4 linked regions of the Oryzias latipes genome follow. The protein of the gene in region 3 binds, or shares a complex with, the protein of the main gene of each other region. Links are inferred from orthologs where the notes say so. Each region holds a gene or a part of one and is shown on either strand. Other genes may lie near its edges. The genes, in order: trappc12, trappc11, trappc9 and trappc8.

Region 1 (7,345 bases), on a different chromosome or scaffold from region 3:
TAAACATTATAAATCACTTAAAAGCTCATAAAAGTTGACTTTGCATGATATAGACCCTTTAAATAATGATGCATTGAAACATTCAGGACGTTTCAGAGAGAACGCAGATATATGAACCTCTTTAACCCATTTCTATGTGAAATGTTTGTATGGAAAATGCCACAGTGGTGCTGTCTGCCTGATAACACCGGCTGGAAAATGGTTTTACCAACAGTTTAGAATGATTTTCTGTGTGTTCCAGCTCTGGTTTGTACGCCTGGCTCTGTTCACCAAGCTGAACCTTTTCCAAAATGCTGAGCTAGAGTTTGAACCCTTTGGCAACCTGGATCAGCCAGACCTGTATTACGAATACTACCCAGCTGTTTACCCCGGGAAGAGAGGTATGTGTAAAAACGTCGAACCTTCCCCCATCTGATGAGTGAAATTATATATGAAGGAATGACTTTCAAATTAGGTTAAAGACAGTGAGATTTCAAAGGTTACGCTCCTCAGTTCTACACTCAGACTTTAACTCTCGTCTCCTTTCATGTTCCATTTGTCTAAAACCTGCTAAATTCAAATGTTTGCTGAAAAAGTGTCATGAAGTAATTGCAGCACTATTGTTCTGCTCTCTAGGAGAATTTAGCCTCATACCCGCATTATTAACACTGCACCACAACTTTCTAATTAAATATTCACAGGAAAGTTTCTGCCAGGAGCTTCACATCAGACTGTATCATTGACAAACTTCAACAACTCTACTTGTCTCCAGCAGTTCTCTGGTTTTGTTTTTCCTCTTTTTACACTGCATGAATCGCTCTCTAATGTATTCCCATTACTTTGGATCTGCTTCACCCTCTGGCTACCACAATGAAGGCAGTATCAGAGATACAGCTGCACACACACACTTGTTCTTAAAAAAGAGCAGCGCTCAAAACGACATCGCACAGCCTTCTGACAAGCGCACCCATTGACTTTCCATTGCTCAATATTAAACCCTTTATGCCCACTGATTCCCCAGAGACAAACTGCTAAGTTGTGTAGTATAGGATCAGAAGTCCAACGTTTGTATTGTCTGATGCATGTGTAGGCTGTTTTTTTATCCCCAACAACCCTCTGTTAACGCGATAAAAGAAGGCTTATACCTGTGTCATCACCAAGAATTGAGAGTAACCCTTGTGCTATCTAAGGCCCTTTACCATTGGGAGTTGGGTCATCTAGACCCACTACTAGACAGTGCTCTGAACCTTTTTTCTCAAATGATTTGTGATCTTCACTGGTGTCCATGGATTACATGAAATCTTTCCACCTTTATCCACCTTTGTCATGGTAGGGAGAACACGTCAATGTAAGGGTGGGGTCATCTAAGATAGCACAAGGGTTAACTCAGCAAAAGCTTGCTCATCCCTCATTGTCTTGCTTTTGAAATAAAAACTGAGTTTAAAATGGACTGTTAAACAATGGCGCAGTAACGTCACTCAGAAATACACTCATTTAGCAGGTAAGCGTATAACAAACGGTAGTTTCAGTAAATCTTAGCAATAGTAATCAACCAACAAATTGCTGTTTCTGTTTACCAATATGCATTTCCAGCAGACTTTCTGCCTCTGCTGTGTTCAATTGTTAGACTGCAGACGCCCCAAAGGTGGCGCTAAATCAGGGACGTGTCGGGTACGGACAAAATGGAAGGAGATTTTCAAACAATGATCAAATTTTGTAAGTCTTAAATAAAACTTCACATTGGTTCCTAAAATGCAACCAGTGGTATAAGGATTCATTTTATTTACTGGCCTCAAATGGATCCAGATCATCTTTAGCCAAACAAACAAGTCAACTAGAATGAATGTCAAATCCATTCACATGTTAGTTTCCTAAAGTTCCCCACTGTTGTTTTTCCACATCCAAAGAATCCAAAGGGAACATTCTTAGAACATTCTAGACACTGGATGGTCACATGACTTTATTCAAAGTCTGTCCACACATTGGACTGGAATGATGGACTGATCCATTTTGTAAAGTAAACGTACCACGTTTCTATCTAAAACGGTATTTTCGGAGATCGATATAATGGATTTATTTCATTTACAACAATCTTTGTAACGGTTTAGGTGGATTCGGTTTAACAACTAGCCTCAAACAGATCGATCTGGTTGGATTGTTGGAATAGAAATCAATTAAGTGATTTCATCGTTACACCCCTGATTGCAGCCTACCAATGCTGCTAGATGATTTTTCTGTGAGGATTCTGTGTTGCTTTAAGTTGAAGCTGTTCTTGTCTTTGTGTAAAAGCTGCTTCAACATTTTAGGATTCTAACCAACGCCCCTTGACAGCTGAATTTATTTCCAGCCATAAAAAAAATCACTTATGTTTTTGCTTTCAAGTTGATGCTAAATTAAGGTTCCTTGTTTTTTGCAGAGTTTGGCCAGAGGCACAATTTATTTGTGATTTTAAAATAATAGTTAGGCTCATATAGTCATTATTTTCCCACTAATAACCGCTAGAGGGCAATGTAGATGTGCTTAGCAGAATATGCGACTGATAGAAGAAGAAGAAGAAGAATTGCCGCTGATACGCCTGATGCAAAACAAACATGGAGGACGCATGAATCGGCGTAAATCTGCTGGGCGTGTGTGACGTTCAGACGCGTCCCACTTTTCTCCCAAAAGGAAGATTATAGTCCGGAGGGACTTATCGTCCGTAAATACTATGATTTTGGAGCCCAAGTGCTTTAATGCATAATCGTATGGATAGGCTGAATGAATTAATGAATTGTGGAAACAAACTTTCTCAAATGTTTTTGACAAGTAAAAATGAACAGAATAATGTGCTAGCCCATTCACCAGTCAGCATGAACGACTCGAGGGTCTGAAACCCAGATGCTGTCACAAATGCAGGGGGGGGGGGGGGGGGGGGTTGTAGAGGAATGAGAGAGATTGCAGGCAGATTGGAATCTCAACCACAGCTGAAACTGTGATAAAAACCAAAAGGATGAGCGAGCTGGGTTTTAGATCAGATGACGGGATCAAAAAAGACTGCCATCAAAGCCCGAAGACTCACCTGAACACAGACTTTAGCTGAATGAGTGTGTGTGAAAACAGTGTGAATGATGCGGAGGCAGGCAGAGACAGAGGGATGAGTGATGGAGCGGTGCAGCACAGTAAGAGGGAGAGATGAGAGGCTTTAATAAGCAGCCATACGTAGCTCAATGCCATCTGTAGGTTCCTGCCTGCAGGGCTGTGTACAGTCTGTGTGTGGGTGGATGGGTTTATGCTCTCATCTCTGTCTCTCACTTCCATCCCTCTGTGTTTTCCTCCCTATATCTTCTGTTCTCTTCCTTTACCCCTTCCCTTCTTCATCCACCCATCTTCTTTTTTTGTCCAGGCTCGATGGTTCCGTTCTCCATGCGGCTGCTGCACGCTGAGCTCCCCCAGTACCTGGCCAAGCCCCAGGAGGCTCTGGACCGCCTTCACCACCTAGAAACGATCTGCCTCGCTGTTAGTAAAGCACAGAACATAATACCATGCTCAATCCTTTAGAAAGCGTATGGAGCTGCAGTTGTAGTACAGTAGTGGCAGAGAAGCAGTTGTCGATTCTTCTTCTTCCCCTTCAGATTTTAGATAACCTGGAAAAGGGCTTGGCTGAAGACGGCAGCATGGTCACCTTAACACAGGAAAACAGGCAAGGTAAGCACTCAGACACACCTGCTGCAGGACTGCAGCACATCCCAGCCTCACTCCAATGTGATGCTCTTAGTGTTTAGCACCTCGCTGCCCTGGAACTCGCACTGAATATCAAATGGATTTAGCAGCTCTGCACACCAGTCAGATCAATAGAAATCAATCCCACCAATCCAGCGATGTCTGCAAAAGTGCGTTAGGGAGATGAGCAGGTGTACACTCGCCACTCCCACAATCCCTTTCCTCTTTCTTTCTTTGCATCCACACATCATATAGCTCCTAGCATGTTTGCAACATGCATTTATCAGCTTAATAACTTGTTTCACTGGAACTAAATATAGACGTGTTTACACTGAGAGAATTAGCGAGGTAGCACATCTAGGAGTGCGTGTGCCTGAGGGGCTTTAAATGGAGCTCATTTGTCCCCATGCAGCATCACTGTAACGGCTGTGTCCTTTGTCTCTCCTGGCTCTGCCCACACAGTTGACAGTCAAGTCAATAACACGGGGCCATGCTATCACGCTTCAGAGCCCCACTGAGTGACTAGCCGCTCTCCCCAGCTCCCCTGCATCTGCAGCGGGGAATAGTAACAGGCCATTCAGATTCTGGATGCTGCAGTTCTGCTGCTTTTCATTAAAATAAAGCCGGTGCACAGCAGGCTTTAATGAGTGGGACGTGAAAGAAGTATGGGGGGGGGGGGCAAGAAACAAACACTTGGAATAAAAATAGAAAGTCGTGGCACCCCCTTATTTGGTCTCTTTTTTTTTATCTTCGTCTTGCTAGCGTCTCTAAAGCTGTGGAGGTCTCGTCTCAGCCGGGTCATGTACTCCATGGCCAACTGCCTGCTGCTGATGAAGGTAGGAGTGTGTGTTTGTCAGCTCTGTGTGACGGTGTGCTGGTGTGCACGTCGCCTTTGTGTGTGCGTGAGACAGAGTCTCCGAGATTTCTGATGCCAGGCAGTTGGAGGATTCACAGTGAAATCCCCACAGACTGACCACTAATTGGATTCTTGGTCAGTAAGAGAGAAAGCCGGTGGATGTGGGAGTGGAGGGGAGGTGTGGGCTCAGCTCTGACCCACAGAGAAACATACTGCCACCTGCTGGTGACGGTTGTTATTACACTCAGCTCGGCTTCAGTGACGGAACTTTCATATTTGACGTTGGGAAAGCGGCATCCAATATAAAATGATGTGCAAGTTATTCCAGAGATTAAGTAGCTACATCAACAAATTTGAATGTTCTCTTTGCTTTGAAGTCACCATTCTGCCAAAATCTTTAAAGAAGGGAAGACAACATGTCCGTAATTCACAACATAGCTTCAAGACCAATTTAAATGTTCTCACATTTACCTCCAGATTAAATAACAAACACAGCAGTTCTGTGTTTAGTCCAGAGGGTGAAAAAGTAAACTTTTAGAGATAAATTCTATACATTTTGTTGTAAAAACGCATAGAATTGTGGCATTGAGTCAGATACAGATACTACGCTTAATATGAGAGAAATATCTTTAGTATTCCCTCTACAAAGTCTGAATTTCAAAATAACATAAATACATCCTGTGGTGTTCTATATGATTATATTGTTCAAGATGGAAATACTGTTTTTGACGCAGAATCCCACCACAGCGCTGTGCTGTCATGCGGAGCTCACTGCTGTGATGTGGTAAAAAAGAGCGCTGAGAGGAATGTACGCTTTTCAGACAGTAACTCTGCAGTAATTAGTTACTGTAATGTACCACAAGAAATGTTGTATTTAATGGTGTTAGCCGGACCAAGACGTTCTGCTGTTGGACCCACAAATGGCTGTTGCTACGCAACACAAACAATGAGAACGTCAAACAATACTTAGACGTATCCGCTGCAGCATTCAGGATCACGCCACAGCCATGTTCCCTACTCAGATTGAGAAGTTTTCAAATTATATCATCATAATATGTTGCCAATACAGTAAAATACTAGATATAAATCAAGTTCATTATTACCTATGATGAGAAAAAGAACCAAAAGTTGTTCTTTCAGTTTGAATTAGCTTTAAGCTCGTGACACTCAAACTGTATTTTTTCTGATTCCCAGAGGTCCTTTAATTATGATTTTAAAGTTTTTGGCCAAAATAAAGAAAAAAACTGTCAATGGTTGAGACATTGAACGGCAGTGACTCAGGCGGTAGAGCGGGTCGTCCAATGTTTGAAGGGTTGGCGGTTCGATCCCCGCTCCCCCCAGCCAAGACAGGGCAAGACACTTCCCCCTCCCTGCCTCCAGCGTGGCTCCACTGGTGTGTGAATGTGCATGAATGTGATGGTCAGAGGGGCCGCAGACGGGAACTGGCAGCCCCGCCCCCATCAGTCTGCCCCGGGGCAGCTGTGGTACATCACTAGTCACCATCCCCAAGAATGAATGAATGATGGACACATTGGAAAAACTTTGAGCGTCTGGAAAAGCAGATAAATCTAATCTGTTCTTATTACTTCATATTTTCTGCAGAACAGCCGGAGTTCATTAGAAAGCTAACATTAGCGTAGCTAAAAACGGCGAGCGATAGCGGGGCTATGCAGCCGTACGGCTCTGAGCCAGATGTTCATGGAACTACAGTGTTCGCACAATATTCGCGGTTTGTGGCCCACTGGCTCAGAAGCGGCCTGAAAATATCCTGAAACGCTGAGGAAGATAATCACAGAGAATAATATCATCCAGCTGAATGAATGATGGAGGAAGACGAGCTCTGGCACTAAACTGATGAAGGAGGAAGAAGCAGGACGTGTTCCTGCACCAACAGTGACACTCCTAATGTTCTAAATGGACGCTACCGCACAGTCTATGGATCTAAATAAAAAACGCTTCATGTTGAGCAATCCGATGATTTACAAGCATCAGAAATGTTTCAGAAGGGTTTTGGATGAGGAAGGATCAGTGACGGACATTCTTCGGCCTATGGGTGGGGGGGGCTTCTCCATATTCAGGGGTGGTCCCTAAACCTCGTGAAAACGGAGGGGGGATACTGTGGACAAATACAAAACGTTGGATCAGAGTTGGAGTCTCACAAACCCGAGCTTTTTCAGTGTGGGGTTCATTGTTTGGTCCAAGGACGCCTTAACACATGGACGGGCAGGGCGGGAACCGAACCTGCGATGTTCCGATTAGAGGTTGACCACTCTACCTCTCCACTATGGCCACCGCAGGAGTGAAGACATGCTCAGCTCTGGGGACGTATTATTCCATGAAGTGGGTGGAATGGGAGTTAAAAGCTCTGCTGGATGCTTTTATCTGACTCAAATGTTGGTGTGAAGTCATTTTTAGGTGTCAGTAATGAACATGTTTCCAAATGTTGGTTTATCTGCAGTTTCTTGTGGACACCTGCCTGTGTGAACACCCTCTGCTCACCTTTGGTGCACCTATCATCAGCGCAGGGCTGCTCTGAAGGGAGGGGCTTCTCTGCCAGACCGCCATATGTTTAATGAATGCTCTCTCTCTCTCTCTCCCTGCCTCCACCAGCTCGCCCGCACACTGCCTCCTGACTTGACTGTTTGTCTTCTCAGCACTCTTGCTTATGTCCACGTTTCTTCTTCAGGAGTTTTTCTGACCTGCTTGTCCCTGTTCTCAGGACTACGTCCTGGCAGTGGAGACCTATCGCTCCATCGTCCAGTATGAACCCCAGCAGAGAGTGCAGCTGCTCAGCGGGATCGGGCGCATCTT
Region 2 (6,937 bases), on a different chromosome or scaffold from region 3:
GCTGAATAGACTTGTCCAAAAGTGAAACACAGAAATCTGCGTTTTTATCTGGTGCCGGTAGTTCTGTGTATAACGGTACCGTACTGAGTTTTGGTACTCATCCCTAGAGGGGAGGGAGCTTCATGGACATGTGGCCTTTACTCTCTCTCCAGGTATCGACCCACAGGACGCAGAGAAGGAGAAGGTGGGAATTCTCGCTCTGCAAATCAAGGAGAGAGATGTACCGCATTCTGTAAGTGCCTAATTCAAGTGCACTTATTGCTTTTCCTTGTTTTATTTAGGACAAATAATAAAATAATTGGCCTTTTTGGCCATATTGAAGCCATTATTTTCTGATTATTCTGGGAATATTTTGCCACATTGTTCATTTTCAGTTGCCAGACAGCAAAGGCTACAGATCAATAAAGAATAAATGTAATTTTATGCCGTAAAAGCTGCTTCCCTCTCTGTGTTTCACTGTCAGGAGCTGATTATAGCGCTCCTCGGTAACGCTGTGGCCCAATTCAAGAAGTACAAGTGCCCTCGAATGAAGAGTCACCTGAGTACGTAGAAACACTTTCAGGTTTCCTGTTATTAAAAAAATGTTTTTAACATTTTTTTTGTGCTGTCTGTTGTCGTCACAGTGGTGCAGATGGGAGAGGAATACTATCATGCAAAAGATTACACCAAAGCCTTTAAGTAAGTCCAGCGCAGCTCAAGTTGAACCCGTCATGCCGGAGTCGGGTGAAAGCCGATGAACTGTGTGTGCTGTTACCAGGCTGCTGGACTATGTGATGTGTGATTATCGCACGGAGCGATGGTGCGCTCTGCTGACCGACATCCTGAGCACCGCTCTGCGCTGCGCTTATCTGATGGCCAGCGTGAAGGACTACATCCTCTACTGCATGGAGCTGCTGGGCAGAGGTCAGTCATCCGTTCTCAACACTCCTGCCGTCCGACGCGCACACGACAACAGGAGCGCTTCATTTTGTGAACGTTTGTGTCGCAGCCTCTGATTTGAAGGAGGAGCAAAAGTCGAGGATTGAGAAGAACCTCCTCAAAGTTTTGATGGTGAGCAAAACACATTTACGGCCAAAACAAAGTCTTCATCAGGATCAGGATTCCTCCATGTGTGTTTTAGGGGCAACAGTAGCTCAGGTGATTGAGCGGGTCGTCCAATGACCGAAGGGTTGGCGGTTCGATCCCCGCTCCCACCAGCCAAAATGTCGTTGTGTCCTTGGGCAAGACACTTCACCCTCCTTGCCTTCAGTGTGGCTCCACTGGTGTGTGAATGTACATGAATGTTCCCGGTGATGGTCAGAGGGGCCGTAGGCGCGAAATGGCAGCCACGCCTCTGTCAGTCTGCCCCAGGGCAGCTGTGGCTACAACCATAGCTTACCGTCACCAAGTATGAATGAGGAGTGAATGAATAATGGACACAATGTAAGCGCTTTGAGTGTCATGAAAAGCGCAGATAAATCCAATCCATTATTATTATTATTATTTTTGGTTATGTCGTTTTCAGAACGACGTGCCTGAACCCGAGCCGGACTGTGACCCGTCTTCTGTCGGCGCTGCCAGGTCGCTGTGGACCGACCGCATGGCTCTGGCTGGGTCCAATGAGATGACGATAGAAGTTCAGGACTACATCCCATTCAGTCAGGAAACTCTCCAACCTTAAAGGATAACCTTTTCACGATGATTTAAAAATCCCAAATGTGTTTGTTTTCATTTTTGATGTTCTCCTCCATCAGTCCAATGTAAGGCTAAATTCCAGTCTCCCAGTTTCCATGTGGACCAGCCCATCCAGCTGCAGGTCTTTGTCCGGGCCGACTGTCCTCATCCCGTGTCCTTCAACAAGCTGTCAGTCAGCCTGAGCAACCAGGTAAAGTCCAGACAACAAACCGGGGCGTCCAGGTTTAAACCGATTCGTCCGTTTTAGTTTCATAAACGTAACTTTGCTGTCACAAAAGCTGAATTTTTGATGTTTAATCGCAGATCCTTCGGGTGTTTCTGTTCATTATCGGTTTAACATTTACGGTGCACATTTTGCACAGTGACAGTTGTGCATGAAACTGGATTGAGAAGCACATTTTATTGGTTTAAACACGTCAAAACTAACAGTGACAGGATTGCAGCTGCCTTGTTTCCACTGAATTCTTCCTGTATGATTACATCCTAAAACCAAAAGAGCAGAAAGATATTTTTTATAAACAAAAAAAGAACCCAACAATCATAGAAATACACCCTTCCTTAACCCACAGAATGAAACGACATCCTTCTGAAATATCATATAAAGAAGGGGTGGGAGGATCTTATTATAGGATTTTATTTTTACGTCTGTGCTTTCTAACCAGGGGTACCAGAGCACACTGCAGGGCCAAAAGGATGCCCGTATGATGGCATCTGTCTGAAAAACTGATCATTTTAAGGCTGATTATATAAATGTTAAAAAATTATAGAGTAGATTATAAAGAAATTATAAAGTTTAGCATAGTTTAGATAGTTTGGGGGGTTTTGTTTTTAATTTTGTATTTCTACCACACCAGCAATGCTTTTACACCTTGCTGTTGCAAAAAAAAATTGAAAAAGGAGCTCATCTATGCAGACAGATTGTTTGACCATACAGTTATTGATGAGTTTTAATTGATAAACACATCATCAATGAAGCAGGTGGTCTGCTCCCCTCATTTCAGCACCACGGACAGCAACCCAGGAGCTGCTAAAGCCTGGTTGTGTAGAGAAACGTGGAGAAAGTTTTACACATTCTTATGCATTTGAAGTCATAAAGTCTTGTGTTCTGTTAAGGTAGATTAGGGTTACCTCAAAATGCCAGCTTTTTGGTAAGTAAAATAAGAAGGTTATTAAAAAAAGTGATATTTTTTATTACCTTTACAGACAAACACAGACACGTTACAAATGTCTTGTTGTATATGCTGTAAAGGTGGCAGCTCATGTGTTTATTTGAATTCTTTTTCCTTTAGATTTGAAACAAAGTGTCCTTCTGATGCTGCTCGTTTTAATGTTGTTTAACAGGTTTAAGACGAGTTAAAATCAAATGTGAATACGGCAAACTTTGCTCCAAAAGCTGGTGGTTTTTTTAAGTGATGTTGTTAGATTTTGTTGTTATTTTTTTTTTACTGCATTGGCTCCTAAACTGCAGAAACAAACTTAAGAAGCAAAGAATGAACTTGAACGTTTATCTTCTCTAAATGCTTTTAAAAGAAGTTTTATTGTGGCGCTCAAACAGGATCATCCCCATTTCTGTCAAGAACATCACCATCGCCCCTTCCATTACTCCTTTGTTCCTCACACCTTTATTTAAACAGGAAGTCAAAAGGGTTTAGGTCTTTGATCAAAAGTGAGGGTTTTTTTCCCCTTGAGGAAAACCGGCTGAGATGTCGCGGTTCGATGAGGATGGTGGTTGAACTGTCTGTGATGGAGATTCATCTGTAATAATTAGAAATTTTGAAAGAATCTTTCGTCCGTCAGCTTGATGTCAAAACGATTGTTTTTGTTCTTGCAGGAGTACAACCAGTGGTGTGTGGCTGAATCATCCGGTCAGGAGGACATGACGCTGTTGCCGGGGAAACCCAAACGCTACCGTTTTAGCTTTGTGGCAAAGACGGAGGATGTTGGGAAGAAGATTGAGGTAAGCCGCGGTCTGTGTGCGTGACGGGGAAACTTAGAGCTGGAGAGCGGCGGTTAACCGATGTCGATGATGCAGATAACGGGCATCGAGCTGATGATGGGCAGTGACAACGGCCGCTGCGTGTTCCTGAGCTGGAGGGGGGCAGGGGGAGACGCCGCCTCCGCTCACGAAGCCCTGCAGTCCAGCAGGTCCTCGCGGCGCTGGGCGCGCGGCAACGAGGCGCATCCGGAGCTCGACTGGGACGGCATCACTCTGCAGAACAGCACCATGTAGGCGACTCGTTAGGAACCGGAACAATCCAGCGGCAGGAAGCACTTGGTTTCATCCCTGCACTGCTTTTGTTTCTGTGCAGGATCATCTCCAGAGTCCCAAAGATCTCCGTGGTTCTGAGCCACCAGCCTCCCATCCTCACCAACGAGATGTACTGCATCCGCCTCGCCGTCCAATCACAGGAGGACGCCGTGGCCAGAGATGTGCAGCTGACAACGGGTCTGAAGCCAGGTAAAGACAAACGGCACAAGAATCCCTGATCGTCCGTGGATTCTGTGATCACACAAAACAAACCGGCTTCCAGCAACAGAAGCTTCCAACCTAAACACACCAGTCGCTGTTTCTTGTAGTTCTTTCTTCTTCTCCAGCGGCTCAATGTCGGACAATATTTTCATGGACTGGGTTTATGAGGCTAAAAGGGCTTATCCAATATTATCTTTTTACTTCTCTTTAGCTTCCAGTTTCTCTTAACCTTTCAGGGTGAAGTTTATTTTCGTCCTCTGTTAAATATCTGCAGCTGCTTTCAACTTTATTTGCACTCTAGATTTTGTGTTGGAACTATTTAAATGTGATAAAAATTTACCCTTAACCCATAACTGTCAAAGTGGAAGCTAAAAAAATCGTTAGTCTCACCTGACTTTTAATTTCTAAAAGATAAATTAATTGTTAATTGTTTTATAAAATACCTAAAACAGGTATTTTCCAAATATAATCATAAATGTGAATCCGCCGTATGAACAACTTTATTAGCAGCATCCACGAAACCCCAAACAGCTGGTCCCTGAATATTATACATTATTATCATGGTCTGTAGGAACATTTGTCAGAATAAATCCATATTTAAGAGTAAAGACTCCTGGTTTTTATCTGTTAAATGCAGATTTCTTTTATTTTGAAGTCCAAGGCTCTTCTTCTGTTTCCGCTCTGGCTCTTTTCTGCCAAAAGGAACTTTGTTTTCTGTTAACTCTGCTAGCTTGAGGGTTTCAGTTCAGCGGCAGGAGCAGCTGCTTTAAGAAAGTACCGGATGGTCCCCGTGTACCGATCCGTGGTACCGGTACACGGGAGACATTTCTTTACGGGATGTGGACATTTCAAATCCCCTCATGGTCCTTTCACACCTGCCTTCTCCAGGACAGGACGCTAACCTCAGCCAGACCACCCACGTGACCCTCGACGCCTTCAAGGTTTGTGACGATTCTGCTGCGTCTCTGCTTCCCGATGTGCCTCTGGGGGACCTGCAACCCGGCGGAACGGTACACAAAAGCAGACCAGAACACGCTGCACGGCTGCCAGCGCAGTCCTCCTCACAACCGCTGAGGGTTTTCCTTTCTGTGTCCAGCTGGAGAAATGTATATACTTCAGGTGTGGGTCAACTGGACCCCGGGTCTTCTTGTTCCACGTGGCCTACAGCGTTGAAACAGCAGTGGAAGGACGGCAGATTATCTGCAAATGTCACAAGGTGGAGAACCTGGTCACCTCTTGATTTAGTCCTTCAGTCTTTGACGGATTATTGATCTTCGGTTTTTCTGTTTTCTGTTCAGGATGAGACGGTCACTATAGACACGCTGGTTCCATTTGACGTATCTGTCAAGTTTGTGTCCACAAAGGTGTGTTGCTGATGGTTTTTGCTTTTATAAACACTATGATCACATCCTTTGCTTGTTCTAGAGATGGTTTTTTTTTCCACGCCAGCATTTCAAACATTCTGTTTGGTAGTGAAAAATCAGCAGGAACATGTTGAGGTTGTTGGTCCAAACGGGAGTTTTTCAAATCCCTTTGAATTCTGGGATCTTCTGCAGTTTGAGCCGCTGGACCGGGTTGCAGTGGACATCCCCTTCCTGCTGTTGACGGACGTGGTTTCGTCGTCTCCGTGGCCTCTCCTGCTGGCCTCCTCGTCTCTGCAGCTGCTCACGCTGACCAGCAACACGCCCCAGCTCCAGTCGCAGCTTCAAGAAGGTTCCGCAGTCTCCTCTGCTGTGAAATCTGCCCCAGGCAGCGGCCCTCTGGTTGAACCACCATGTCTGTGCTCAGTTGTTCTGCAGACGGCCGAGTGTGCCACCGAGTGCTTCTGTCTGCGATGTCCGCCGGGGACCAACGACAACAACACGGTGGCCACAGGACAGTACCTCATCTCGTGGAGGAGGTAAGCTCACGCCCACTATCGTGCTTGAACAGGTTGTTTTTAAGGAATCTTCAGAGGTTTTTTCTCTGCCAAACAGGCAGTCTTCCAATCCAGACGGTCCGCTCATCCAAACGACCGTCACTCTACCTCACATCATTCTGGAGTCGGTTCCCGTCTACATTTATGCAGGTTGGTGTTGACCTGGACTCAAAGTAGGGATTTCATCATTGTTTTCCAACATATTTTGCCTTGAGTGTAGTAACGGTGTTGTTGACAAAAAATGCTGTCACGTTTTTCCTCCTGCTTTGGTTTGAGAGCAGACTTGCCGTCGTTCGGGCGAGTCCGAGAGTCTCTTCCAGTCCGTTACCACATCGAGAACAGAACATCTCTGGTGCAGGAGGTGGAGATGGCCGTCGAACCGTCAGACGCCTTCATGTTCTCTGGACTCAAACAGGTACGGCCGGATCCGAACCCATTTTTCAGGGCTGTAAGTCGTTACTTCGACTGCGATTCACATATCAAACCACCATTCTTACTGGTCCACATATTATGTTCAAATGGTTGCTATACGTTTGTCTTTTTACTGTATGTTTGGAAATACAAATATGTATTTACTCGTTTATATCTTTCTTTAGAAGAGAATCAACCAAACATAACAGAAAATCAGGAAGTTTTTTCTCTCAACTTCCTGGTTAATAACTTAGTAACCAAAACATAATCATCACTGTTGTTTTGGATCATTTAACAACAAATCCTGAAAAAGAAATGGGACTTCATTCTCTTCTACAGAAAAGGTTTTGGTGAAACGTCTGCTCTTTTACCGTCTTTATTAACCGGTTTGATGCCGTGTTGATGTGCAGGTGCGTCTTCGTATTCTCCCGGGCACAGAACAGCAAATGCTGTATAACTATTAC
Region 3 (7,345 bases):
TCCAGCTGATGGTCTACAACCCCATGCCTTATGAACTCCGCGTGGAAAACATGGTGGGTACATTTCTTTACACTCAAGTCTGTTTTTCTTCTTTGGCTTGAGGTTGTTCCCTCCGAAAAAATATTTCTTTTTAAAAACGACCTGCAGTACAAATCTAAAAAAACGAAAAAACTTGAATAACATTCTAAAATAATAGTGGAGGGGCAGAAATTGATCCTCATTTGATCATTCAGTGACAGGACTGTTGCCTAGTTTCATGTTTAGTCTAGGGTTATATATAAAACTCTTCAGTGTAATCTGCTGCTCACTTTCTAGACTATCAATTAAGACTTTTAAAACACAATTAAGACAATAATCTGGTCTAAACTGGATTAAAACAATTGATTTCATTTATTCTGCCTGTATCGAGATCATTTAAGTTAGTGGTCTCCAACCTTTTTCAGGCCGTGGACCAGTTTGATGTTAGAACATATTAAGAAACATGAATCCACGGCTTCAACAACTTTATGCAGATTTTTATTTTATTTTGGAGTCTTGTGTTTTCTCATCAGATCTTTTCTGCTAAAAGAAATGTTCTAAATATGTTTGTTTTTTGTCAGCATTGCTATCTTGGGAGTTTCAGTTTAGTGGTCGGTGCAGACGTTTTAACAAAGTTGGAGATAGAATTTCAACACATGACCGAGCGACTTGACATACGTCATGAGGTCAAGAATGAGTCGCTTGTGGTGAAGAGAATCCAGTAGTTCTTCAAAATACAGCTACCTTTAGAATCAGATTATAAATAAAACAGAAAAGTTGTAGGTTGGGTTTTTTCTCTGCATCCTGGTACCTACTCCTCCACAGACCGACACCCGTCCGTGGTTGGGGACCACTGCTATAGACAGCTTCTTTTGTAAATTCATGTTTTATATGGAAATTAAAATGAATTTGTTTTTACATTCAGGTTTCGTACTGTCATGAAAAAACCTGGAAGAATTTATGAAAATGAAAATGCAATTTCTAGGTCCTTGAAAAGTTTGTGTAAACTGACATAGTTTTGGTAAAGGCATGAAAGTTGAATATTTTGGATGCAAAAATACATTAAAATATTAGAATTTAAGGGGATTGGAATTGAAATTGTGGCAGAAGTTCAACCTTACACTTACGATGGCAGTTTTTGTCGCCATAAAGCAGGTCGAGTTGTCATCAGTTCAGAGTGCACAACGCTTTCAGCCTGCTATCGGACATGGATCGTGAAATGCTAGATGATGTCAGGGAAATGTTGCTTTAACAATGAGAACTGTGGCTACTGAAAGACCCTGATCAGAAGCGTGCAAAAGCAAAGAACTACAAGCAGGCTTTATTTATGATGATTCAGTCCTAACAACAATAATATCAGGCACAAAGCAGCAAAGTCTGTGGGTGACCTGCTGGATGGACGTTGTTTGTGTGGTCGACTTTGTCAACTTCGAAAACATTTTTTTCTGATATTTGCTATCATTTTTTAATGAGCTAGAACAGTTTTAGGCCTAAAGCGATAGGGATGCGTCTAATACCTGCATTACTTGAATGTGATGTGTTTGAGGTTATTTATGGTGAGTTACTGAGAAACTGCTATTGTTTGTCTGGGGTGTTTTCATGTATTTTATTGACGATCTCCGCCTGCCTCTGCAGCTTCACATCTAGGCAAACTCCGGCTGTAATCACAAAAATAAACAGTTCATACTGGTCAATAGAACTGCATCCACCATTTTTCTCTGTAATATTTGTGGATAAAGTCAGAAGGAAGAGCAAAACAGACTGGTGATATTGTGACAAGCACATAAACTAAACTGATCACGTCTATGCTTTTCACTTTTAAATGCAGTTCTTCTTCTAGTTTTCATGAGCAGATGAAGTCAGCTAGTTTGTAGTTCTTCAGAACTTAAGGAGGAAAATACCTCTAAAATTTAAACGAAGGTCACCTGTGTTTTTTATCTATATAGCGGCACCGACTACAATAGTCTCACTAAAATGTGTTTGTTTTTAGTTTTGAAAATTCAGTTAAAGTTAATGGAAAAGGGTCGGAAAAGTTATGGAACACCATGGTTAAAAAAAGTGTATGGACCCTGTGATGAGGTGAACATAAACATCCAAACTCAAGTGTCTTTTTTTGTGGATCCTCCCTCAGTCAATGAACACCTAGACAAGATTTTTTCTGAAGTCATTCCTAAAGTTTTTCCTTGAATTGTTGTTTGTTTCCAAATTTGATTCCTTAGTTGTTCCAAAACATTCAATCATTCCCAAATTAATTTAGCCAAACCTGAACCTTCATTTTTGTCAATGAAGTCCCTGATGTTACTTAACAGGAATCAGTGGTTCAATGCTTTTTTTGTTGTTGCTGCTGAAACAACTTATTTGTTTTTCAGCCCCAAACTGTGGATTTCTGCTTTCCTTCACAACACGTGGAAGGAATTTACATAAATATCTGTTTCCTGTCTCAAAATATTTAAAAAATATGTTTTTTTTTTAAAATCAAGAATAAACCTAAACTGTCTGACCTGAAGAGGAGGAGTCTGTTTTGTACCTGTTTTAAAGCTAAAACAATCCAAATGAAACAAAGGAGGAACGTTGCTGATGCTAGCATCAGCGGATTCCATTGGACAGACCAGATGAGGTGAAAGGCACAGCACCTCTGCTGGGGTGTGGAGTCATAGAGGGGCGTAAAGCTGCCAGATGCAGGTCTGCTGCTGTGAGGGACCATGAACTCTCAAACCTAAAGAAGGTCAAAGTTTTGTGTCATGGAAGTCACTTTATCCTACTCATGTCAGACATCAGCTTTCAGGCTTTTTCTGTTAAGTTTGTGTCTTTTCTCTACCCCCAGCCATTTAATTCAGTTTTGATGCCCAGAAATGATCAGTCAGCAATGTCAAGCTAACAAATATTTCACCGGGCCTTCTCAGGCATTCGCTCCTGTAAAGTCAGCCAAAACACTCACCCTGAAGAGTCCCACATGAAAGGAACAGAAAGTCTTAAAGGAAAACTCCAGCTTTAATGTCTGCAGTGTTGTGGCTGTCTGACTTTCAATTCTTTCAAGTCCACGATGCTTCCTAAAGCTACGCCTTCTCTGAGTGGATAGAAAGGCTGCAGATGCCGACTTAAGCATTTTGTTCTGCACTTTTTTTGTGCTGAAACCGAATCATTGACCTTTTCAAAACGAGCTGTTTCCATTAGGGAAAGCTGAGTTTGTGGGGTTTAATAACGGCGTGCTGCCCCCCGGAGTGAAAGCGGGCAGCGCTTAAATCACAGCTACAGCGCCTCTGAGGCTCAGCTCCTCAGCAGATCCCTCTACAGTGAGGTAGCGTCTGCTGTTCGGGACTGATGTGATCATTACGTCAGCTCCGTCTGCTTGTTGCGCACGGGGAATGCAAATGCTGTTGTTCTCTGGGTTATGATGCAGAAAAAGTCCTTTTGCTCAAAGACTGCCACCCTTCTGAAAGTAGGAGCAGCAGATCTGTCATCAAATTTAATTTTCAGATTCATTCTCAATGATTAAAAAAATCTGATAAAAAGCTGCAAATCAACCATAAAGACTAAACTCCCGGTTGGCTGTTGTGGTTTAAGGTCAGGTTGTTTGATGTCTCCATGTCAGTCTGTTGAAGGCGTTTACAGAGGAGGTTCTGCTGTCTGTCACGCTCAGAGTGAGTTGGAAGAGGTTCCAGTTCCCATGATCCCTCTTTCTTCTGTGAGACTGATTTCCAGTCACCTCTCAGCCGTGCAGTGATTTCCTGCAGTGTAATGCAGACAGAGATTTTATCTGCAGAACACAGAGGGGAGGCGGCTTAAGATGAGGAATCACTCCAAATCTTCTCTGAGATGCAATGAGATCTGAAGAAGGGTTCTTTCTGCAAAGGGACAAACAAACCAGAGCAGGAAACACTCATTTCCAGCATGTTTTTGTTTCCTGGTTCTGGTTCAGTTGGGTTATCTGTTTGACTTCTGCTTCATCCTGTGCTGCACTCAGGGTTTGCTGACTTCTGGAGTGGAGTTCGAGTCTCTGCCTGCAGCTCTCTTCCTGCCCGCCGAGTCCGGCCTGTACCCCGTCACCCTGGTGGGGGTCCCACGCACGGCCGGCAACATCACCGTCAACGGTCAGTCCAGCTGATGAGCCGCTGCACGACTCTTCCACACTGACTCATGCTGAGCAGAACCATTGTGCCGGTCACCTGTTGACATCAGTGGGTCATAAGCAAGCAACACATGATGACCGATCCACATCTGCCACGTGCAATCTGCTCATTTCCAATGCTATAATTGATCAATTACCTATCAGTTTTGTCTTTACAAGATGAGCTTTTTAAAGACCCACTCCGGTCATCTTCTGATCTATTTTCAAATCGATCCCAAAGGTCTTTTAATTATGATTATGCCGTTTTTAGCCAAAATCAAAAAACCCATGTAGTTTTATAGAACGTAGTTTCTGCAGAGCCGGCCTCAGCAGCGAAAACAAACAACATCCAAACTTTTGCAAAGATGCCTTTTAGGCAAGCGTTTAGCCGATCACCGCTAGCTCCAAGGAGAAAGTGGGTGTGTATTTTAGTCTGGGGGCGGGGCTGCCAGCACAGACTCTTCCTGGAAAGGGCTGTTCCTCACTTTGTGATGTCAGTGTGAGAATCTGCTTGTTTTCATGGGTTGGGAGGGGCTGGTGCTCAGAGCGCAGGTTTAGAGGAATTCTCAAAAATATGTGAATGGATCAAGATGCCGCTTTGGGGTGGTTTATCATGAGAAATTAACATTATAGTGCACTTAAAAGCTCAAAAAGTAGATTTTGCATGAAATGAACCCTTTAAATGTTACCCCCCCCTCCCACACACACACTTCATGGATTCATCTGCTTCCTGTCTGCTTGGATTGGCAGGTTACCACACGTCTGTGTTTGGCGTGTCCAGCGACTGCCTGCTGGAGGACTTGGTCGGTGTGAAGGCCAGTGGCTGTTTGGTGGAGGTTATTCCTTCTCTGCCACGCCTGCAGCTCAGCACATCGCTGCCAAGGTTAGACTCCCCCCCCCCCCCCCCTGCAGCTTCACCCTCATCATTTTCACAAACACAGCCCGTCTTTATGCAGCAACACGTCATTCTCTACTCACAGCAGAAATGATGTATGGTTCAAAGATGCGAACGTGAAGAAAACTGAAAATCCGTCCCATAATGTTTTCAGTGAAGCACGAAAGTGTCATTTTCAGTTTAAAGACCCTTTTACAGTTTTCATAAGCAACTACTTGAACAATACTTTTGTTTTTTTTGAATGTTGGTTTTAAATTCTGCCGAATGATGTTCAGGTGACCCACTGCTGCCGAAGTCACATCTGAGTGCAGCAGATCAGCAGCTTTTGATGTGGAAGAACCTTTTTGTTCTGTGGCCTTGAAGTATTAGAGCAGCAGACAGATGAGGCACATCAATGACAAAAGTAAGACGAGGTCTTCGGGGTGTTTTCACGCCACACACTTCAAAGCTGGAAGCGCTCTGAGGTGGCTCTGTTTCTGTTCAGGCAAACTGCAGCCCTGTGCTGTTCCATTCCCAAAATTAGCCTGGAGCTGTGCTTTCCTAACTCTGTAAGGATCCAATGTGCTCAGTAAACCCTCTGTCTGTGTCTTTAATAAGGGCTTTATACAAATTTATTCTAAACTTTTCACACAAGATACTTTTTTGTCTGTAAAATGGATCTGTAGAGTCAAAAATAGGAAATCTCTGATTTTTTTCTTTCTAACTTTTCTGAATTGGGCAGTTCAGCCAAGTAGTGTGTTATGTTTTCGCCTTGCATGACAAAAGAATGTAGCATGCACTTAGCATACACATTCACCATCCACAAACCAGTCATCATTCTATCACTACATGTTCACATACATTTATCATGTATGTAATGTGCATTTATCATCCCTCCATCATGTATTTCTTATGAATTTGTATGCATTCACCATGCTTTCCATATGCATTCTGTGAAGGTTCACAATTAGTCAATGGACAAAAATAGGTGTATCTTGCAAGATCTTTTAATATGTTTTTTTTTGTAGAGTTTTTCTTTGTAAAGGAAGATAAAAAAGGTACAAAACAGAATAGTTTCAAAAATAAAGTAATTTGGGCCCAACTGAAAACATAACTAAATGAAACAAAACAAGCGGGACTAAACTGAACAGGCCTGACCAGACTTAGCCATTAAACTGACACACTGGGAAAGCTTTATAGACAGGGAAAACCCATACTGGACACATGAGGGAGAGGAAACTAACTAATCAAACATTCAAACTAATTAATCTGATTACAAAACAGGGAAACAGACACCAAACAAAATTCATATAATACAAAAGTAGTCTTCAAGAAAAAGTGGACTAAATCATTTCCTTTAAATAAGCAAAATGAAGTCCATGAGGAGAGTTGGCAACCCCTGCAGTTCCCCAGTGGAATTTCCCAATCTCCTCTGCTGATTACTGTGGATGGCTCACCTGAGATGGAAACTCAGAAAACAAACAACTTTTTCTCACTTAAAACCAATCAAATTGTTAATTCATTTTAAGTAAACAAAGTAAAATTAACGTTTTAATTTAAAGAAAAAATAAAGAAATACTAACACCTATGTGGTGGTTTGAGGTCGAACCACCACACATTCATAATGCATTAATGGCATATTTTGCTTGTATTTATTATTTATCCTCTTTGCATTTATCATGTATTCATTATCATGTACTCATTCATCGCTTGGCAACTTCCCTATCCCGCTGTGTTTTTTTTAGCCACCCCATTCCCGCCCGCAGCAGAATTTAAACTGCCCGCTCCCGTGAGACTTGCGTTGGGTCCCGTGGGACCCGGCAGGACTCAATCCCAATGCACCTCTCTAGTTCAGTCTAATCAACTCACCTGTTCAGCGTCCTACTTAAGTTCCAGGTGTGCGGTTCAATCCTCTTCTTCCATTTCTGCGAGCTCTGCCTTCCTCACCCCACCCTCCTTCCACCTGTGAGCCCCGTTGGGGGTAGTTTAATACCCAAAGTTTTCTATGGAGATCTTTGTTTTATGTATCTGAACGGAGCCTTATGGCTTGGATTTCTGTTTTAGGTCTTTTTTTTCCCCATTTTTTCCGACTAGCCGACAAACACCAGTGTCACCAATTCTGGACCCAGTAGCACCATAATGCTTCCCCCTCCATGTTTGACAGCCTCTGAGCTTGAATATAATTTCTTTTCAATCTTTGGAAAACATAACCTTTCTGCTAAAACTTTGATTAGACATGAACTTTTTGAACCCTCTTTGGATTTTTGTGGTGGATATCAAAGATTAAATTGACTTCTAAAGCTTAAACGTGGATCACATTTTTGTCTTTGTCCATTCTGGATCAG
Region 4 (7,777 bases), on a different chromosome or scaffold from region 3:
TTGACTTCCATGCTATTGCATGGGCAGGTGAGGGCAATTCCCTTATGTCATTATGAGTGAAGCAGATAAAAGGCCTGGAGTTGATTAGAGGACTCGTGCTGCATTTGGAAGGTTTTGCCGTGAACAGACAACATGCGATGAAAGGAGCTCTCCATGCAGGTGAAAGGAGCCATCATTAAGCTGAGAAAACAGAAAAAAACAATGCTAGAAATGCTACAGTATTATGAGTGGCAACATCAACAGTGTGGTACATCCTGAGAAAGAAAGAAAGCTCTGGTGAACTGAACACAAAAAGACCTGGACGTTCACAGAAGACAACAGTGGTGGATGATGGCAGAATCATTTCCATGGGAGATGCGGAGTTTGAATTGCAGGGCATCACGGGCCAGCTACGGCTACGCCGAGGGGGCTGCCGGTATGAAGATAAAGCTAGACCGGGGAAGTATCGACAGGAGAACCGCGGAAGGCGGAAATGCTGCTACGTAGTCCTGAGAAGCTGTGTACAGTCATCAGGAACGCACAGCCGTCACAAAGCCCTGTCCTCTGCTGCTAACACAAAGCTACAAGCCTGTCCGCACTGTTCCTAGCCTGTCTGTGCCTCTTAGCAGCTGGACACACGGAAAGAGCACTGATGTCATCGCCCCGCCTCCCCGCTGGAAATGCTAAGTAGAATTGAATAATGCAACACTATTCACAGGGTGGATGTGAAAATGAAAAAGCAATGCCCTCTTTGCATTTTCGCTTTAATTACGACATAAATATTAAGCGGTTTTTAAGTAGTTTTAAGTATGAAAAAGCATTTTGGAGGATTGATTTTTCATTTTCATTTTGAGTCATTTGATGCAGTTATACCACGGAGTTTTAGAGCCACCAAAAAAAAAAGTAAAATTACGACATTTTAAGTCGTAGATTTATGAAAAGAAATCTCGTAAATTTACTCCCACAGACTTTGCTGCTTTGTGCCCAATATTGCTGTTGGGGTTTGACTTACAAACAAAATAAAAAAAAAAGTTCATATTTAATGCTTCCCCACTGTTTTTCTCTGTAATGTTAGTGGATAAAGTCAGAAGAAGAACAGACTGGTGATATCATGACAAACACATAAACTAAACGGATCATGTCTGTGACACTTTGTGGTTTTTCTACTTTTATTTGCAGCTCATCTTCTGGTTTTCATGATCAGAATAGAATAGGTCTTTAATTATCCCTAAGGCAATTAAAAAAAGGAAACTTAAATAAAAAGGAAATTTAAAAATGATAAAGTTAGAACCCAGCCTGTTTGAAGTTCTTGTTTTTGTAGTTCTTGAAAAATGTTAGAACCAAAATCTGGGAAAAGATTTGAATGATCACCGGGACTTTTTTAAAGTACACAAAAAAACAAAACAAAAAAAAAAAATGCAGACAGACAGACAGACAGACAGACAGACAGACAGACAGACAGACGCACGCTGACGTTGGTCAATGAACGGAGAGAAGATTCTGATTGGTTCCCGCAGCGTCAGCTGACCGCATCAGCCCTACACCGGAAGAAGAAGAGTGTCATGGCTGTCGTGTGAAGTGTATCCCTCTCGGTGTTTGTGGAGATGGCGCAGTGCGTTCAGTCCGTTCAGGAGTTCCTCCAGGACTCCTTCGTCCCGATGGTCGCCGTCCTGTGCAGCAAAGAGGCGGACAGAGTTTCCCGAAAGAACAAGCTGAGCTTCCCGGAGCTGCTGCGGCCTTTCTGCAGGCTCCTCTCCGAAGGTATGGGTCCGAATCAGGCTTCGTTCGGCCGTGTTCGGATGCAGACCCAGCAGTGCCTGGAGTCTGTCCTGCAGCCAGAACCGAACCAGACGTTTGTCACAGCAACTAGGGTCGCTCAGGACCTTCGGGGACTTACGAAAACAGTTCTGGCTCTTAAGTCTTATCTGATCCAGTCTGGCTCTCTTCTTCTCAATAGTAACAGTTTCTGGTTTGTTTTGAGCCCGGTTCTGATCCAGTTCTGTGTGGACATGTTTACTGTGAAAACTAAGGTGCTTCTGTTCCTTGGTTGTCCGTGAATCTGGTCTTTGACGGCCTCATCCATGTTTTGCTGCCTCCGGCTGCTGTCATCTGGCTGGTTTTCATCTGCTGCTCTTCTCCAGGGCTCTGCAACCTTTACCTCCACAAGAGCCCTTAGGTCCAGTTTCTTACCAACCAAAATCCAACGACACCTACCAAATCCCATTTAACCTTTTAGAAAAAAGAATCTCTCTGTTTTGTGGCCATTAGGCAATTCATTGATGAACTGTAGCTTTTAAATATTTACAACACTTGAATTATAAAAGTCTCCTATTTTTCTACAAATAACAACTTTAAAATTCTCCCTCTGAACATCTTTTAATCTATTTTCCCAGTCTAATTATGGTTATGAATTATGGTTATGCAGTTTTTAGCTAAAATCCAAAAGCCCGTGTCTTTTTCTAGAACATAGTTTCTGCAGAGTGGCAGTCCTCCAGTTCTGATCCAGATTCCAGCTCAGATTCCATCTGTTGGTCTGACAGTGGATCATCAGAATGGAGCAAAGCGGAGAGCTTGAGGCCCAGTTTGTACCGAACAACTACAAATTTTTCTCATCTGCTACTGATTCACAATGATTTGAATAAAATAATTCAGAGAGCTTCAGAGATCGAGTCATTTTACTTCCAGATATGAAAAGAGTTCATGAAAATAACTAATTAAAAAAACGTTCTTTAGTGTGCCAAAGCTAATATATTATAATATGTATGGATATAGTTTACTATAAAAGGCTTAAGAAAAGCAGGATATCGGCCTTTAAATGTTTTACCTTGACAGCAGCATGCATGAGTTCCTTTAAGATTAAAGTTCAGGAACCTCCTACTGCAACAGATTTAGTTAAATTAAAATGAAGGTTAAACACGGAATTTTCTATTATGTCAACATTTAGATGTTATTGTGCTGCATAGATTAGAATATGAGCTTAACTAGCTAATTTCCTACCAATTAAAATGTTACCATTTTTGCTTAAAGCCAAAGATCAACAATGGAGGAATAAGAGAGCCACATGTGGCTCTGGAGGCTCCCTGGTCTACTGTCATCATGTACATGTCATGAATTATTCTTTCCCAAGAACTTTTTACATCTTCATAGCATCTCCTGCGAAACTCAATTTGAGATCACAGGGACCCTGTCAGTCTGAGTTTACAGTTTTCAGTAACCTGTCCACGTTAAACATATTCATCAGACTGAATTTACACCCTCATCTGTGAAAATATTACTTTGCTTCGTTGGCTATAGGGGAGAGAGTTTCACCGTCAGCTTTTCCTATTTTCTGTCTTCTTTAGCCACAAATCTTGTTGTGAGATGCTGTTCTTGATGTTTTTTGCAGGTCACATCAGGGACCCCAACAACCAGCTGCAGACTGTGAAAAACCTACGCATCTGTGTCAATGCGGTGACCACAAACCCAGTTTCCTCCCCTGCTGTTCTCAGCCCGGCCCAGTACCGGCAGCTTGGCGAGGTGGTGTCATCCTGCCAGCCGCTGGAGGGGGCTGCAGCCACTAGCTTTAAAACAGGAGACTACAACCTGAACTTGAGTGGTGAGGATCTGGTTGTGAGGATTTTTCTGCAGATTTAGCAGGATTGGACTGAGTTCTGTTGAGCAAGCTGGTTTCTGGAATTGATGTGGTTGTTAGATGAACCCATGCGTCTGCAGTTCTCTGCAGAGCTGGTTCCATACTGGATTTTAAGGTCCTTCCTTCCTACTGCTTTGACCTTTAACTCCTCTAGGTTTCAGTGTCCCTCTGGAGTCTGCATTACAGAGCAGACTTCAGGGGTTGTGTGAATGTCAGTCGATCAGAACCAGAACCACGCAGAAGCAGTTTTAGTATTTCTGTCTGATCAGTGTTTTCAAATATTAACTGCAGTGTTTTGTTTCAGTTACCACTCCGTGGTTCGAGGCCTACAGGGAGAATTTCCTGCAGTCCATGCCTGCTTCTGAGCACGAGTTCCTGAATCACTACCTAGCCTGTATCCTTGAGAAGGGTTAGCTTCTGAAGAGGTTAGCACCGCTGAGCATACTCACTTCCTTTGGAAATGGATGAAACCATGCCAGGTTTGCTTTTCAAAACGGGGCCAAGCTAAAACTAAAGCCTAAAAGCTATTATCAGAAGGCACTGATACTTGAACTATGGGGTAAACAGTCTGAATATAGATCAAAAGATGATTGGAGAGGGATTTTAGAAATCAGTGGGAAGAAAAGCAGTAAAAGTTGAATTAAAAACAGAGCTGATGCCTGCCGGATGTTCATTGGAACGTCTTTCTGCAGCTTAGGAGTTGCCACAGGAAAAGCTTGGTCCAGAAATGAGAGGCTGCTTTCTCATGTCTGAACGGGTGTTTGGTGGAGTTGGGAAGGATCCTGGCTGTTTTTTGGTTTAAAAAGAAAAGAGTTTAAAATGCACAGGCCGTCAGTGAAGTGAAAATGGGAAGTGACATGATCACTAAACTGCATGCAACAACGGTTTGAACTAGCTGGAGACAAACCACAGAAGGTTTACTGACCCTCCACACACACAGCACTGCAGTAAGTGAAGCCTATGGTCCATGGCATGGGTTAATGGCTGAAGGCGTTGCCCAGAGATGATTGGTTTAAAGGCCTGTTCACACCGGGACGAATTTCGCCGGCGATTTTCGCCGACGTTTAACGCCTCGTGACTAAACAAAGGGCCCCAATGAGAGTGTGCACACCGACGCGAAAAAACGCCACGCGACAAAGCGTCAGAAAAAAAAAACGCCTCGGGTTCGTTTTTTTTTTTCGACGCGTCGCGTCGAAATCTACTCGACCAATGAGAATGGCGCTTTTGCTCACGTGTCTGGAGCTTCTGAAGTTACAGTAAAACACAACTTGGGGGCGCTCAAACACAAAACTGCCTTACTGAGCACACATACCAGCGAAGAAGATAGACGCCAAGTAGCGTCTACACAGCCGCGAAGCAATAATGACGGACATTCTAAAATATCCCCGAACCAAGCACCAGTTGGAGCTACTGGTGCTTGAAATATTCATGTTTTCTTTGTTTGATTCTGACAAGCGCGTAAGTACTTGCTCTCTTCTTCTGAGTGAAAAGCGACTTTAAGAAGCGTAAAGTTGCGCAGCGCCACCTTGTGTACAGGAGTATTTCTGTTTTACATTAAGCGCCATCTAATGTCAGGGAATGAAATTGCATGTTCACTCCACTCATCGTCAGCGAAAATCGCCTGGGTGTGAACACAAAAAACGTGGCGAAAAACGCTGGCGAATAACGCCTGGCGAATATTCGTCCCGGTGTGTACGGGCCTTAACTTTGGCATTTTGTCTTTTGGTTAAAGGCCTGATTTTACAATAGACCTTAATCTGGGAATCCAGCTTAAAGCTGCGTTCACACGGAGCGAGATTTGCACATCGGGGCAAACAGTTTCGATGTTCAGTCAATGTACAGATGCGACCAGAGGGTTTTAAGTGTCAGGCCTGGCGTGTCAATCAGTCAGCAGTGTGTTTCGGGCATTGCAGTTCATTCCGTGCACATCCAAAGTTCAAATATCTAAACTTTGGTGAAGAAGACACGTCGCATCAACCAATCAGAGACTCGGCTTTGAGCCATGACCAGAGAGACAGAAGTACTGCTGAAAGTGTCCGTCATCCAGATGCAGCTCCTGCTGTAGGGTTAGGATTAGCTTCCATGTTAATACAGCATGCGAAGGGAATTTTTTTATGGCAAGATTTAAAATGTCTAAAAACTCCCCTCAATAATCCCAGACAAGGCCACAGGGTCACCAGAGCGGACACAAAAGGTCTTACCTTGGAAATAAGACCCAAATCACTGGAGTGCAATGCCTCCAACCTCCACCCATGTTCTAAACAGGAAACACTGTTACGATCAATTGTGTCAAATGCTGCTGTTGGGTCAAAGCACGAGGATGATGCAGTCATTTAGTAAATTAGAGCAGATACTTGGCCATATTTTCAGAAATTTTGAAGGAAAGATTTTAAAGATGGTGAAATACTAATCGAACCATCTAGTAGCTGGTTCCCTCCGAATTTTAGTAGTCCTTTGATTACTAAAAGCTGTTTGATCAATCCCAGTTTTATCATTCTTTGGAACATTTAAGTATATTATTTTTAAATTATGCTAGCAGACAAGACTGTTCACATCCATCATATAGAGTTTCGTTTGGCAAATAACGTGTGTTTTTTAGGTGACTACTCAGGTGTTAAAGGGTTTAAACATTTGCAGTAAATATCTTCCCGCCATCTGTAGACTAGATCTACATTAAAATAGCCAACAGAAATTAGGGCTGGAGGTAAGGCAACCCTCCCAAATCTCTCTGATCACCTGACTGTGGGTTCATAAATCTCCCAGTCAGAGCAGATGCTGCCCCCTCTGGCCACAGAGCTGGGTAATCCAAAGTTGAGATAAACCTGCTGGCTTCCTCTTGTAGCTATCATCCTCTACCATGCTGTAGATCTGTTCTCCATCTTCTGCAAGCTTCCTTGACCTCAGCCCTCCAGGTCTGCTGGTGGTGTCCTCCACTGAGGCTGTCCCTGTGGAGCAGTTCCTAAAGCTTTCCCAGGAGCAGCACAGAATCCAGCACAGTGGAGAATACACTCACCCCAGATGGTTCATCCCCAACACTCTGAAGTACTACGTCCTGCTGCACGACCTGAGCGAGGGGGATGAACAGAGGTACTGAGGGGGGCTGAAGGCTTTTTCTGTGGGACATATTTTACTGATACAAAGGGGTTATGAATCTTCTGACACACAAGGTGTGTATTTGAATAGACCCCTTAAACTAAATTTTTTTTTTTTATTTTTTTATTTTTTTATTTTTATTTTTTTAACTTGTCCTGTCCAACAGCTAGGCAAACAGATGAGAGCTGAGGGCCTCTTGTGTTGGACATATTTTATTTTAACAAGAGGGGTTATTCATCTTCAGACAAACCAAAGGTATGTCTGAATAAACCCCTTTTGTAATTGAGGCCAAAATTTATTAATTTCAATCATGTTTGAAAATCTTTGGTGTTGGACCGGACGGAAAAGGAAAGAGGGGAAGAAGAGAGAGGGACGTTAGAGAGAGGGGGGGGTAGGAGGGTGATAATAGGAGGGGAAGGGGGGTAAGACCATGAAGCAGCATAGAGCAGACAGGTTTACTGGTTGTTTATCGTTACGGTACGGTTCAAATGTAGTACAAAAAGGGCGGGGCCTGTTCACACACACTCAAATATTATCAACACACCTGCTAGCCGCAAAAATGTCCACATGTCAACATGCACACAAAACAGATAGTGTTCACGAACGCATACCTATGCCTTTAAACCAACTAGTGTGAAATCTTTCATTCATTCAATCATGCAAACTATTAGTGCAAAGGTGAGCTAACACCTGTGCTCAGGTGAGTGTTTATGTTCTTCTAAAATGGATGGTGGAATGTGAAAAGAAGGAGGAGGAGCGCCCAGCTACCCCCACACCCATACCCCCGCCGCAGCAGCAGCGGCGGGGGTATGGGTGTGTATTTAAACTAAATTTTATTTACATTAACTATATTTGAAACGTTTTTTTGTTGGACCGGATGGAAAAGAAGAGGGAAAAAGAAAGGGGGATGTTGGAGAGGGGGCGGGAGTAGGAGGATGATGGGGGGTGGGTAAGTTCATAAAGCAACCATAAAGGGGCGGGGCCTGTCCACACACACTCAAATGTTACAAACATACCTGTTGGCTTCAAAAGTCTCAACATGTGAACAGGTACAAAATCCAACTACCGTCACAC

What was found.
Region 1: trappc9 (region 3) and trappc12 share a complex: the UniProt entries of both Homo sapiens proteins name them as parts of the multisubunit TRAPP (transport protein particle) complex. The link is inferred for Oryzias latipes from reciprocal best matches to the Homo sapiens genes TRAPPC9 and TRAPPC12.
Region 2: trappc9 (region 3) and trappc11 share a complex: the UniProt entries of both Homo sapiens proteins name them as parts of the multisubunit TRAPP (transport protein particle) complex. The link is inferred for Oryzias latipes from reciprocal best matches to the Homo sapiens genes TRAPPC9 and TRAPPC11.
Region 4: trappc9 (region 3) and trappc8 share a complex: the UniProt entries of both Homo sapiens proteins name them as parts of the multisubunit TRAPP (transport protein particle) complex. The link is inferred for Oryzias latipes from reciprocal best matches to the Homo sapiens genes TRAPPC9 and TRAPPC8.

Annotation. Positions count from the first base shown.
Region 1 is NC_019880.2:20,780,993-20,788,337, forward strand, and holds part of trappc12 (trafficking protein particle complex subunit 12), read left to right. Parts: intron 1-241; coding exon 242-380; intron 381-3,361; coding exon 3,362-3,474; intron 3,475-3,590; coding exon 3,591-3,663; intron 3,664-4,440; coding exon 4,441-4,514; intron 4,515-7,253; coding exon 7,254-7,345. UniProt on the Homo sapiens protein: Component of the TRAPP complex, which is involved in endoplasmic reticulum to Golgi apparatus trafficking at a very early stage.
Region 2 is NC_019868.2:27,378,002-27,384,938, forward strand, and holds part of trappc11 (trafficking protein particle complex subunit 11), read left to right. Parts: intron 1-152; coding exon 153-232; intron 233-463; coding exon 464-542; intron 543-623; coding exon 624-678; intron 679-757; coding exon 758-903; intron 904-988; coding exon 989-1,050; intron 1,051-1,504; coding exon 1,505-1,637; intron 1,638-1,733; coding exon 1,734-1,864; intron 1,865-3,505; coding exon 3,506-3,631; intron 3,632-3,706; coding exon 3,707-3,900; intron 3,901-3,983; coding exon 3,984-4,132; intron 4,133-5,032; coding exon 5,033-5,154; intron 5,155-5,240; coding exon 5,241-5,360; intron 5,361-5,442; coding exon 5,443-5,508; intron 5,509-5,700; coding exon 5,701-5,857; intron 5,858-5,932; coding exon 5,933-6,044; intron 6,045-6,120; coding exon 6,121-6,212; intron 6,213-6,343; coding exon 6,344-6,477; intron 6,478-6,883; coding exon 6,884-6,937. UniProt on the Homo sapiens protein: Involved in endoplasmic reticulum to Golgi apparatus trafficking at a very early stage.
Region 3 is NC_019869.2:24,205,360-24,212,704, forward strand, and holds part of trappc9 (trafficking protein particle complex subunit 9), read left to right. Parts: coding exon 1-53; intron 54-3,982; coding exon 3,983-4,109; intron 4,110-4,876; coding exon 4,877-5,009; intron 5,010-7,345. UniProt on the Homo sapiens protein: Functions as an activator of NF-kappa-B through increased phosphorylation of the IKK complex. May function in neuronal cells differentiation. May play a role in vesicular transport from endoplasmic reticulum to Golgi.
Region 4 is NC_019862.2:1,512,747-1,520,523, forward strand, and holds the start of trappc8 (trafficking protein particle complex subunit 8), read left to right. Parts: upstream 1-1,505; 5' UTR 1,506-1,583; coding exon 1,584-1,740; intron 1,741-3,364; coding exon 3,365-3,574; intron 3,575-3,914; coding exon 3,915-4,004; intron 4,005-6,522; coding exon 6,523-6,697; intron 6,698-7,777. UniProt on the Homo sapiens protein: Plays a role in endoplasmic reticulum to Golgi apparatus trafficking at a very early stage. Maintains together with TBC1D14 the cycling pool of ATG9 required for initiation of autophagy. Involved in collagen secretion.